Linked DNA regions of Oryzias latipes. The protein of the gene in region 1 binds, or shares a complex with, the protein of each later gene. Links are inferred from orthologs where the notes say so. Each region holds a gene or a part of one and is shown in the gene's direction. Other genes may lie near its edges. The genes, in order: taf5, taf11 and tada2b.

Region 1 (4,008 bases):
CCAAACACAAGTGAGATCTAGTGCTGACATGTTCCCTGTTTGTTCATCTATCCTTGTCCCTCCCCAATCAATGAGACAGACCAAGTATAAATCATCCATCATGTCCTCCAGTACCTCACCATTAGCATCTGTCACCTTCCCCCCCCATAAAGTGCTATTTGCATTAAATCCCCAGATAAGAAGACATGCCCATTTTTCCTTTGAGTTTTTCGTTTATTTTAAGGTTTTTGCTCTGATCGCTTATTTCCCTCTGACTTTTATTTGATCTTTATGTTTTCACTTTTATCCCTCTTTTCATTTGACTATTTTGTTTATGCTCTTGTTGCTTTCTTCTCTTTGGTTTTTCTGTTCTTTATGTTTGTGCTCTGATTGCTTTTTTCCCTTTGAATTATCCGTTGATCTTTCTCTGTTGATCTTTATGCTTTTACTTTGATCCCTTTTGTATTTTTTTCGTTTATCTTTGTGTTTTTTCTTTGATAGCTGTTTAGTTTAGTTTTGCTTTGATTGCTTTTTTAACCGTTGACTCTCTTTGAGCTCTATGTTTTTGCTTTGATCCATCTTTTCCGATTGAATTTCCCTTTTGATCTTTATATTCTTGCTTAGATTAAAATTTTCAGTTGATCTTTTTGTTCTTAATCTGAACGCTTTTTTCTCTTTTTTACTTTTCCTGGGATCTTAATAGTTTTGCTTTGATTGCTTTTTTACCCCATTTGTTTCTTTCTTTGATTTTCATGTTTTCGCTTTGATTCGTTTTTTTTTGTTTGTTTATTCTTTAATCTTTTATATAATTATTTAAAGTTAATTTCAATCACAGAGACAAAAAAAACTAGTTTGATCAGAGGAATTTACCCATTTTAATAAAAAATATTAACAACATTGTAATATCAGCTCAACAAAGGCTGTGTCATCTGATGATCTCATGAGCACAAAAGTAGGAAATTATTAAAACGTTTAGGACCTCAAATGTATTACTTCTAACTAGACCACTATTTTATTTTATTTTGTTTCCTTGTATGGATGTATCATTTTGTGTATTTCTTAAAAAAATGTAGTCTTGAAGAAAAAAATTTGCTCAAGTTTTTATCATATACAGTTCTATCAATTTTGGCCTTAAAAATTGTTTTGATTTTTTTCTAAATCATAGACACAGTTTGAATGATAAAATGTCAATAAAGGTTTATTTAAAAAAAAAAAAACAAGACAAAAAAAAAACCCGGAACCGCACGAGCCGTCCAGGAGGGGGCCGGGCTTCTCACACACATGTCACTCTGAGAACCAATCAGATTTGCTTATCTTGCGCAGTCAGTTCTTCTCGTTTTTCAACCTCGCACATGCGCACTTCATTCTGAAAATGGCGGCCGTGCAGGGTGGAATGGTCGACGAGAAAGAAGAAGTCGACATAAAAACCGAACCGCAGAGCGACGGGCTCATGAACACAAATGCGACCGACGGGCGACAGCTCTCTCCGTCCCCGAGCTCCAGCAGCTCGGCTGGGAGCACCAAAAGTGCGGCTGGGGCGCCGGAGGACCAGCAGACGCTGCTGGCGGTTCTACAGTTCCTGAGAAAGAACAAGCTGACGGAGTCCGTTGAAATTCTGCGGCGTGAGGCGGGACTGCCCGAGGATGCGCTGGACACAAAGGGGGCGGACTGCAGTGCGCCCAGCTCGGGCGGCACCGCTGGCGGCGTGGACGGCCTGGATGCGGGCTCTCTGCTCAGCCGGGTGGCCGTGTCTTCCTCCGCTGGAACTCCGGCGCCGACCAAAGGTATGACGCTCCAAGCGGGACTCAGCCCGTCCACCGGAACTTTGTTCGCTCCTCATAAAGCGCGCGCAACAGTTGTAAAAGAATCGAAAAGACACGTTTAGAAGCTGCAAAAAGAACGTAAATTACACACACTGACAAACAAATGTGGACAAAACTTGATCGCAACATACGTCCCGGGGAAGCAGAGAGGTGGTCAAACTGAGAATCCAAATTAACAAGAACACAAACTAAAACCATGAATCTTTTTAAGTAATAAATATAAATAAGTCTAAATACTTTATACAAATATTTGTGTCTGTCACTGTTCGTTTTGGTCTACAGCTGACCTGATACAGTTTAGTGTTGCACACAAATAATCAGATCAATTGAGGTGATCAGGATCACACACACAGCAGAATATCCTGTGATGAAGTGCTTTAACAAGGTTCACACTTCTCAGTCATCTGACAACTTCCAGCATTTTCACACATTTGATTTTGTCTGTTTTTTACATTCAGAGATGTGGCTACTCAGAAGACAGGACAAAGCCTCATTGTTATTTAATGATAAATAAATGAAGATGGCAAAAGCAGATTTAGCAGATTGAAGAGCTCCAACTTTGAGACTATAGATGGGATTCATTAGATTCCAGAAAACCTGAAGTCTTTATGCACACATGATGTCAACAAACCCTGAGAATGGACTGTAAACCAGGTGATCGTTTTCCTGAAATATGTCAGAGTTGCTATCAGGTAAACGGGTTTGATTCTTAGACATCACCTTCAATTTCAATCCCAGTTTAGATGAGTTCATCCTGGCTTTACCGTTGAAACCAGGTAAGCTGCAGATCCAGCAACAGGTCCATAGTTGAAGGGTCTGTGAGTCTTTCTGGGCTGCTTCGCGGTGGGGGTTCATCACCTCTGGATTCTCTCAGCAGCAGTCGCAGACGATCAGCCCGACGTCAGTGTGGTGCTGTCAGCCTACAGCCAGCAGGGAGACCCGGCTCTCTACAAAGTTTACTACAGCGACCTGAAGAAGTTCATCGAGTCGGTGTTGGACTGCCACCGGGCAGAGCTGTCGCAGGTCTTCTACCCGCTCTTTGTCCACATGTACCTGGAGCTGGTGTACAACAATCATGAGAGTGAAGCCAAGGCCTTCTTTGAAAAGTAAGTCCCTTTAAGGTTTACGTTAAAAAAGTACGCCCTGCTCCGCGCGCCTTCTCGTCACGGCCTCGTCCGCAGGTTCAGCGGGGATCAGGAGTGCTACTACGAAGACGACCTCCGGGTTTTATCCAGCCTCACCAAGAAAGAGCACATGAGAGGCAACGAGACGCTGCTGGACTTCCGCACCAGCAAGTTCGTCCTGCGCATCTCCCGTGACTCCTACCAGCTGCTGAAGAGGCACCTGCAGGAGCGCCAGAACAATCAGATCTGGAACATCATCCAGGAGCACCTGTACATCGACATCTTCGACGGCATGCCCCGCAGCAAGAGCCAGATAGACGCCATGTCAGGCAGCTTAGCAGGAGAGGCCAAGCGGGAGGCCAACAAAGCCAAGGTGAGGGAAGTTCCCGACAGATTTAGCACGTTCCTCTGTAATCCCGTGAGAACAATGCCATCTGTTCTGGCTGCAGGTTTATTATGGGCTGCTGAAAGAACCAGAGATTGAAGTGCCCCTGGATGATGAAGATGAAGAGGCGGAGAACGAAGAGGGCAAGCCGAAGAAGAAGAAGCCAAAGAAGGACAGCATGGGTTCCAAGAGCAAGAAGCAAGATCCCAACGCTCCGTTGCAGAACAGGTGAGGTTCTGCGGTCAGCAGAGCAGAGCTTCTGCATCTTCAGGAGCTTCCGCCACAGGCAGGCTCTTCCTCTTTCTGTGGGAGAGCAGCTTTAACGTTTCCCAGGACGTTTCATCTGCTTCTGGATTATTCTGGTTTGTGTTTGGATGGCTTTAGTTTCTAGAAAAGCCCCGTCAGCTCCGTCCCCCTCTTACTGCTCACGGTGGGGCAAATAAGCTGCTGTTGAGGCGGGAATCCGTCTGAATGGCAGGTGTTACAGGACAGAGCTTAGAAAGTCTGAAAACATCAGTGAAAGCGGGGCTTTTGAGCTCTGAGGGCTTGTTTGGTTCACCTGCAGAGTTTCCCCTGTAGACAGTCTGTCACATGTGCACGTGTCCTGGCTGGACGATGTCACAGCTCCTAAACCGAAAACATTTCTGAAACATCCGTTTGTGCTTATTAGATTTCCAGAGTTTTCTTGCAGTCATTT
Region 2 (3,996 bases), on another chromosome or scaffold:
GGGGGGTTGCTTGTAGTAAAATTCCTCTGTGACCCTCTTCTTCTTCTCCCAACCTCAAGTTATTCCTGAGAGCTACTATGCGGCAGGGAACAAAAGCTCCCTCCAACCAGCGGCTCCTTCTGTCCCTCTCCCCGGTGCTGCTGGCGCTCAACGGGCAAAAGTTTCAGTCAGCAGCACGGCACCAACCACCGAGCAAACTTCCTCTGACCAGTCCTCCAAGCGTCGTCCGTCACTTCCTTGAAACTGCCCTTTCTTTCTGCATCTCCAATCCAAAGCTCTTCAGTCAGACACACTCAGATTCCCTACCACCGCCGCCCTTCGCAGATTAATAAAACATATGGACGGGGAAAAGCAACATGGCGCTTGGCAGGATTCTATGAGGACATTGGAGATTGTTTTATTGTTCCGTTACCCCAGTTGGTTTGAAAATCGAGAGCTAATTTTCTAACCGGATAGTGTGCAAATCGCTTACTTTTCAATGAAAAGAAATAGCAATGTGTATATATGAATACATTTAAATGAAATAGACAAATATGTAACCTAATATTTTTTGTTCAAATGAAAATACGACCTTTTCACTACTTTACATTTTTGGAAAATGTCTATTTATTAAAAAAGAAAATTTTTTTAACACTTCACTATTTTTTCAGCTGACCATACAAAATCAAAAACATCATGTTTCCTGTCACATTGTTATTTTAATGTATTGCAATATTTTGTGGAGTTAAAAAAAATTACAGGGACACACGAGTAAGATAAACTATGTTAGAGGTTGCATTGTAAATGATAAATGAACAGCTACAATTATGTAAAATGTAATAATTGTAAGTATTATTTTCTTGACAATATTTGTTGTTGTATTTCCTGCGTAACTTTAGCACAGAGTTTGTTTTTTTTTAACCGTGACAAGGTGGCGTAAAAAAACAATGTTTTGTATGTTCTATTGGTCTTAAAATATTCTAGTTTGGTTTCGTTTTTGCAATTTTCTTCTATTTTGTGTTGAGTTTATACATATATATATATATAGAGAGAGAGAGAGAGAGAGAGAGAGAGAGAGAGAGAGAGAGAGAGAGAGAGAGAGAGAGAGCAATTTGACACATTTTTCATGGACAGTACTAACTTCAACACATTTTGACATAAAAAAAGAAACATTTAACGCCTTGTTAATAAAGTTTATTCAAAACGGAAACGGAAGCACTTGGGTTTTTTTAGGCTATTATTCGATGGTAGATGTTTACCAGGAAAGCTAGCTTATCTTCTTTAGTTTTTTGCCTTTCTATGTAGTACTTATAGTTATTTATCCATTGTTTATGTAGACCTTTTTTCTTTTTGACATAATTACCGGTGTGTGTCGTTTAAGGACCGTAGACTACATTAGTGCACTATAACAGCTAACTATTAGCTGCTAGTGTTGCGGCAAAGGGCTTTGTTGTTGACGTCTCTAGCTAGCTGTAGAGGAACGTGCATGAGATACGCAGTTTTCATCCAGAATTTATTCAAATACGCCGGCTACACAGCTGAAACTAAAGTCTCGTAATAGCTTCTTCGTTGGTGTTTGCAGACTGCTGTTTAGAAACTTAGGTTATGGCAGACCCTGCACGGATAAAGCCGGCAGAAGACAAGTCTGAGAAGGCAGCAGCATCCAAAGGGGAGCCGTGTAAAGAGACGAACATAAAAAATGAAGCCATCGCAAAAGAATCTGCAGACGAAAAGAAAGAGTTGTCCGCACAAGATCCATCCACAAGGGAGGTGAAACATGTGAGTAGAAATGACTGTGTTCAAAAATCCTTTGTGGAAGAAAAAAAATCTAAGCAAAATCTAGATGAGTGGAGAATTATTTAGGTTGTTAGCAGTACAATTGAGGAGAAAGTTACAGTCTAATGCATAGATCTATGGAAGTTTGACATAGACATACAACCAATTCTGGACCAAATCTGTTATCAAAAATTGGGGGGAAACTGATGTAATAAACAATCCACAATATTAATGGTTGTTTAAATATGATACTCGTGTTTTGGTTTTGTGCAGAGAAAAAGAACTTGGTACAATATGTCTTTATTTTCATTTAGAACATTATAGTAATTTTGGAGTCAAATATGTTTGATGCATATTTGAATTAATGGGCTTCAAGGGGTTGAACATTGATTTCCAAGACAATTAAATTGGGACCCAAGGTAAATAACTAGATAAGCCTGAAGAAAAATGTACAAAATCCTGAGTATTTATTAACAATGTTCAAGCAAAATATTTTCATTGAGGAAGTATTTAACTTATGTATTATTTTTATTGTATATACAAAATAAAACTGACTCTTTCTTAGCTTTGACATGCAGTTCATTTTTTAATTATAAAATAACTTTTGATTGACTAAATTTGGTTGAAAAATAAACCCTTCATACTTGATCACATTGGTCTACCATTGCTTTTTTTAAATCCAAGTCTTCTTTTGTTGGGTATGTTAGAGTGTAGCAAACTTACATGTAACGAGCTTCACTTACATCCTCACATTGTATTCTAAATAATTGTGCATTGAACAAACACAACATTAAAAATGGGAAGAAGTACTAAAAATTTAGGAAGGGAAATCCATTAAAGTGTAAGAAGACTTTAATCATGATGGGTTTTTTTTCTGAAAAGGAAGCTGCACCTGGAGATGATGAAGAAGAGGGAACCTCCGGTCAGCCTCCTGCAAAAAGGCTAAAGGTGGAGCCGGATAAGAAAAAGGAGAAAAGGCAGAAAGTTGACGAAGATGAAATACAAAAGATGCAGTAAGACTGCCGTTTTTATTTTTTCCTGAAATATTCCATGGTGCTGTCATCTTTATTAATTTCACCCCGTTTCTTGTTCTTCCTGGATTCTTTTAGAGTTTTGGTGTCTTCTTTTTCTGAAGAGCAACTAAATCGCTATGAAATGTACAGACGCTCTGCCTTCCCCAAGGCGGCCATCAAGAGGGTGAGCTGTCTACAAAAACTAATTCTTTTTCCTCCCAAAAACGTTCTTCTGTCATTCTTGTGGCTTTTTTGGTCGACCTCCAGCTGATCCAGTCAATCACAGGATCGTCAGTTTCCCAGAATGTGGTCATAGCAATGTCTGGTATTGCCAAGGTTTTTGCTGGAGAAATTGTCGAGGAAGGTGAGTGTTTAAGGCAACAAATAGTTTCTAGTATTATGCAGCTTCTATCCATTTTCCTGGAAGCTTAACATTTTTGCGTCTTTTGTTTTTCGATTCACAGCGCTTGATGTTTGTGAGAAGTGGGGGGACACGCCTCCGCTTCAGCCCAAGCACATGAGGGAGGCCGTCCGAAGGCTGAAGAGCAGAGATCAGATTCCCAACACAAAGTATAAGCACATTCTGTTTCACTGAGACCGTTGACCTGTGGGTTAAATGAGGATGCAGGTGATTAAAACAGCCTCAAGAGCCTCTTGTCAAACTCCAGCCACAGAGGCAGGCGGACATTCTTTTTCCAAGGACTAGTTTTTTTGTGTAAATAAAGATTTTACTCTCAAATTTTTTTTGGTACGATTTGGGTTTTAATTTTAAAAAAAAATCCTATGTGGACATAAGCAAAATTGATATTTCAGACGTTTTCTTAGTGTATTAGAGGTTCATGTTTATAAAAGGTTTGATATTATGAAAGGATCTTATAGCATTTACTTTGTTGTTGAATTGGTCATATTTTTTAGGTCTTGTGTTTACGGTCAAATCTGGGTTCAGTCCCCGTCTGAAAAGGAAGTTTCTTCCTTGCTCATCAACTCTTTCCCAATTTTGAGAAAATCAAACGTTTGGCTTTGTTATTTTGGAACATAAAACGTCTTCAATGTGATATTACTTAAGTGCTCACAGAAACATTGACTACCTCTTTGGTATAAACTCACTCGGTGAACAGCAAATCTTTTCTACTGGAAAGAAAAAAACACAGCAACATCAAACTGTGTTCAACAGTTTATTTTTTTACACTTAAAATCTTTACAGCACACTGATTTTGGTTCACAGAAC
Region 3 (4,248 bases), on another chromosome or scaffold:
AGGGAGGAAAAGCAAACGGTAACTTTAAATATATTTGGTTTTTTTTATAGATGTCATTTTGTACTGTTTTGTTATTTCATTCAAGTTTTTTTATTCTTTAGCAAAACCTGACAAAAAGAAAAGAAAAGACATTTGTTCCTTCTAGGAAGTGGAGGATTATGAAATTAGTGCATTTAATAAATTTAATGTTTTTCCAAGTAAAAATAATGTTTATAAAGAAACACATTTTATTTTACATTTAAGTTTTTAAAATTTTTATCAAAACATTTGGATTCTTGACATTGATGTTGTCTAAAAGTGGATCAGTGAGGAGGTTGTCCGACATTTTACCCTATGGGTTCGGATTTTTAAAGAAAAAATGAATAAAAATGCAGCAGAGGGCACCATGCTGTTGTTCCCCTGGGGCCCCCAAGTCCTCAACTGAGTAAACAGGTGGATATTTTAAACATGGAACCACATTTCTAAAGTTATTTACATTTAGAAATGTGGTTACATAAAAAAAAGTCATATAAACAGAACTGAAGTTAAAATGACATTTTTTTTGCACATTAACTCATCTTTGGCTGTTTTAGAATCAATATTTTCTAAAAATAAATAAATGAGAGACTTTCTTTAACCTTTATAACACTTTTAGTTTTTTTTTTAAACATAACATCAGAAAAACTCCTATTTTACTGAAACACATTTGACATTTGACAAAATGGGATATAAATAATATTCATCCAGACAAAACTGTTGAAAAATCTGACGTTTTAATATCTACATTTGTACCTGCACTACACTCTTTTTTTTGTAAACTCCCAAACTATTGACTTCCTGTCAGAAGTTGCAGGAGTGCAGTTTCAAGCAGACACCAACCTTTTCCAGCTTCTCCTGAAGCTGTGAGCTCAGCTCCTCGGCCTGCAGGTGAGCGGACTCTGAGTCCGCCGTGACCTGCTGCTTCAGGGCGCTCAGGGTCCGGATGCAGACCTCGTACTCGTACCGGTCCCTGGGCAGGTCTGGGCTCCTCCTCAGCTTGGCGTTTGCTTCTGCAGCTTTGCAGACGTATCTTGCCAGCTTCCTCTGCAGCTGTCTACTTCTCTGGGAGAGGTCCTCGTTCTCCTTCTCCAGCTCCTGGAGGACTCGCTGTGCCTCTGGGCTGTCGTCCCTCCCTGCAGCGGGTTTGAACCCGGTTTGAACCTCACTCCTGCTGCTGTTTGTGACGTCACGTGTTTTATCAGAAACCTCTTCCATGACCTTCCTGCTCATCAGGTCCCCTTGTGATGTTGATGCTTCAGCTGGAAACCTTATTTTCCTCTTCTTTACCTTTTTTTTCTTCCTTCACCATATTTATGTTTAATAATATTCTTCCATTTGGGTTTAAACCGCTGGAAAAATGTAAATATTCTAAAGAAACTGCTAACTGGTGAGAAAAAAGCTCGCTTTGAGTTTAGTTTGCGTTGTCTTGGAAACTGGGGCAAAGAGCCAATGACGGGCCGCGCGCCGCACGCTTCAATGTGCGCAGGCGCGAGGTTCCGCCTCCAACAAACAAGAAGCAGGAGCCCAGCCAAGATGGCCGACCTGGGGAAAAAGTACTGCGTTAACTGCCTCGCCGATGTCACCAACCTGCGGCTCCGGTGCACCGAGTGCACCGATATCGACCTGTGCCCGGAGTGCTTCTCGGCGGGAGCAGAGATCGGTAACCACCGGAGGTGGCACGGCTACCAGCAGGTCGACGGCGGGCGCTTTTCGATCTGGGGTCCCGAAGCGGAGGGAGGATGGACCAGCAGGGAAGAGCAGTCGCTGCTCGATGCCATCGAGCAGTACGGCTTCGGAAACTGGGTACATCATCACTGACATCATCTGTTTAGAGCTTTTTTCCTCATAAACTCCTCCGGGTTTGGTGGATAAGTTGATAAACTTTGTGTCTCTACAGTTTGACGGTAATAGTTTAAACTTAACAGAGAAGTGTCGGTTTTTTTTTGGAAAGTAGCAGGACTGTGACTGACAGGTGAGACGTTCACCTGGCAGACCGAACCCCCGGAACCACGGAGGGAAACGTTTCATTCTAGGGTTCAGAGCCTTAAAACGGCTCCAACCAGCTGACAGCCTTCACTTTGTGACTTAAACCACATGAATTCTTTAGGTTAGATTCAGTATTTTTGGCAGAATCCGTTCATTTTAAATGAAACTTCCTCCAGTTGTCTTTGTAAAAGCAGATTCATGAACCCTTTTCACTAATGTTGGGACCACAAGACACCCAGAGACCAAATCTGGTGGCCACAGATCTGGTAGAGCTTTCAATTCTGAACACCGAAATAACAACGTCTTAACGATAACATTTTTGGATAGAACAATTGGAGAACTTTGTCATCACAGGTACAAATATCAACGTTTGTGTTTTGTCTTCTAGAAACATCTTCCCATCAAATTATCACAGGACATTATTCAGGTGCTTTGGCGATTATTGATACGTTTTTCTTGATCGATCAAATAATGTTATTACGGGCTTTATTTCTGCCAGGTGGTACTTTTGGGGGACTTGTATCACTCGGTAGCTTTCACGAAGCTGTGAAGTTGATCCAAAGACGTAAGATGCTGTTGGCTCCCAAATGTCCGGATAAGTCCCCCTGTTCCTGGTTCCGAATTCTAATCTAAAGTATCAGCACTGCGACGCACACATACTATCACTGTGTGAACGGCACGTGCAGTGACAACCGTTACGGTCCGTAACTAAAGTCAAACGTTTCATCCATTTTTTGAACCCAATCAACCCCTTTTTGTGGTCACAGGGTTGCTGGAGCCTATCCCAGCTGCTGTTAGGCAAAGGCAGAGCGCAATCATTGACTCTTCATGAGAGCTGAGTGAGTGTGACTTCATCCATGGAAAGCGACTTAATTCTGACTTCAGCTAAATTAAGGCAATTCAGTCGCCATTTTTACGCAATATGGAAGTCGCCATGTTGGAGCCAGACGTTGTCAGTCAACAGTGATTGGTCCAAGTTGGTCTGAGTCAACATTCCGATGGCAACCGCTCTCACCAATCAGGAGTGAGCTTGTTGGAAGTCCACACCCCTTCCACTGAAAGCCGGAGAATCTTTCTTTTCATTTTTATTTTTTAAGGCATCTGATTGGTTAGTTTATTACTTGAATAAATTACACTACAGAAAAAATTAGGATGATCAAAAGTATGTTTAAAAAAAAGTATCAGAGCAAGAATGTTGATTCTGACCAATAGAATGACAGAGTAACGGCTGTTTGTTTCTCAGTAGAAGTCTATGGGATTTTGGCTTCTTGGAACCAGCAGCTACTTTCTATTTATGCTTTGAAAATACAGTGGGGCATTTAGTCATCCACCAATTGTGCAAGTTCTCCCTCTTAAGTAAGTAGATGAGTGTATGAGGGACAAGATGAGAACAAAAATGCAGAAAATCACATATTTGGTCGATAACAAAAGTTCAACTCAGTACTTTGTTATATACCCTTTGTTGGCAATGACAGCAGTCAAACGTTTCCTGTAAGTCTTCACAGGATTTTCACAAACTGTTGCTGCTATTTTGGCCCATTCCTCCATGCAGATCTCCACTAGAGCCATGATGTTTTGGGGCTGTCGCTGGGCAACACGGACTTTCAACTCCCCCTAAAGATTTTCTATGGGGTTGAGTTGTTGAGACTGACTAGGCCACTCCAGGACCTTGAAATCCTTCTTATGAAACCACTCCTTCGTTTGTTTGGGATCAATGTCATGCAGAAAGACCCAGCCCCATTTCATCTTCAATGCCCAACTGCTGGAAGGAGGTTTTCACTCAAAATCTGACGATGCACCGCCCCAGTCATTCTTTCCCTTACATGGATCAGTCGTCCTGGTCCCTTTGCTGAAAATCAGCCCCAAAGTATGATGCTTCCACCCCCATGCTTATGGTGTTCTGTGGATTCAACTCAGCATTCTTTCTCCTCCAAACATGACGAGTAGAGTTCTTAACAAAAAGTTCTATTTTGGTTTTATCTGACCATAGGACATTCTCCCAATCCTCTTCTGGATCATCCAGATGCTCTCTAGCTAACTTTAGACGGGCCTGCACATGTACTGGCTTTAGCAGCGGGACACGTCTGGCACTGCAGGGTTTGAGTCCCTGGTGGCGTCGTGTGTTACTGATGGTAGTCTTTGTTACTTTGGTCCCAGCTCTCTGCAGGTCGTTCACTAGGTCCCCCGTGTGGTTCTGGGGTTTTTGCTCAGCGTTCTTGTGATCATTCTGATCCACGGAGTGAG

What was found.
Region 2: taf5 (region 1) and taf11 share a complex: the UniProt entries of both Homo sapiens proteins name them as parts of the TFIID basal transcription factor complex. The link is inferred for Oryzias latipes from reciprocal best matches to the Homo sapiens genes TAF5 and TAF11.
Region 3: taf5 (region 1) and tada2b share a complex: the UniProt entries of both Homo sapiens proteins name them as parts of the TFTC-HAT complex. The link is inferred for Oryzias latipes from reciprocal best matches to the Homo sapiens genes TAF5 and TADA2B.

What each region holds. Positions count from the first base shown.
Region 1 is NC_019859.2:29,661,557-29,665,564, forward strand, and holds the start of taf5 (transcription initiation factor TFIID subunit 5), read left to right. Parts: upstream 1-1,207; 5' UTR 1,208-1,351; coding exon 1,352-1,763; intron 1,764-2,676; coding exon 2,677-2,908; intron 2,909-2,983; coding exon 2,984-3,299; intron 3,300-3,375; coding exon 3,376-3,539; intron 3,540-4,008. UniProt on the Homo sapiens protein: The TFIID basal transcription factor complex plays a major role in the initiation of RNA polymerase II (Pol II)-dependent transcription.
Region 2 is NC_019865.2:19,681,646-19,685,641, forward strand, and holds taf11 (transcription initiation factor TFIID subunit 11), read left to right. Parts: upstream 1-1,196; 5' UTR 1,197-1,584; coding exon 1,585-1,758; intron 1,759-2,637; coding exon 2,638-2,768; intron 2,769-2,864; coding exon 2,865-2,952; intron 2,953-3,035; coding exon 3,036-3,132; intron 3,133-3,232; coding exon 3,233-3,363; 3' UTR 3,364-3,511; downstream 3,512-3,996. UniProt on the Homo sapiens protein: The TFIID basal transcription factor complex plays a major role in the initiation of RNA polymerase II (Pol II)-dependent transcription.
Region 3 is NC_019876.2:26,805,275-26,809,522, reverse strand, and holds the start of tada2b (transcriptional adapter 2-beta), read left to right. Parts: upstream 1-1,448; 5' UTR 1,449-1,467; coding exon 1,468-1,821; intron 1,822-4,248. Other genes in the region: ccdc96 (coiled-coil domain-containing protein 96), read right to left, coding at 859-1,248. UniProt on the Homo sapiens protein: Coactivates PAX5-dependent transcription together with either SMARCA4 or GCN5L2.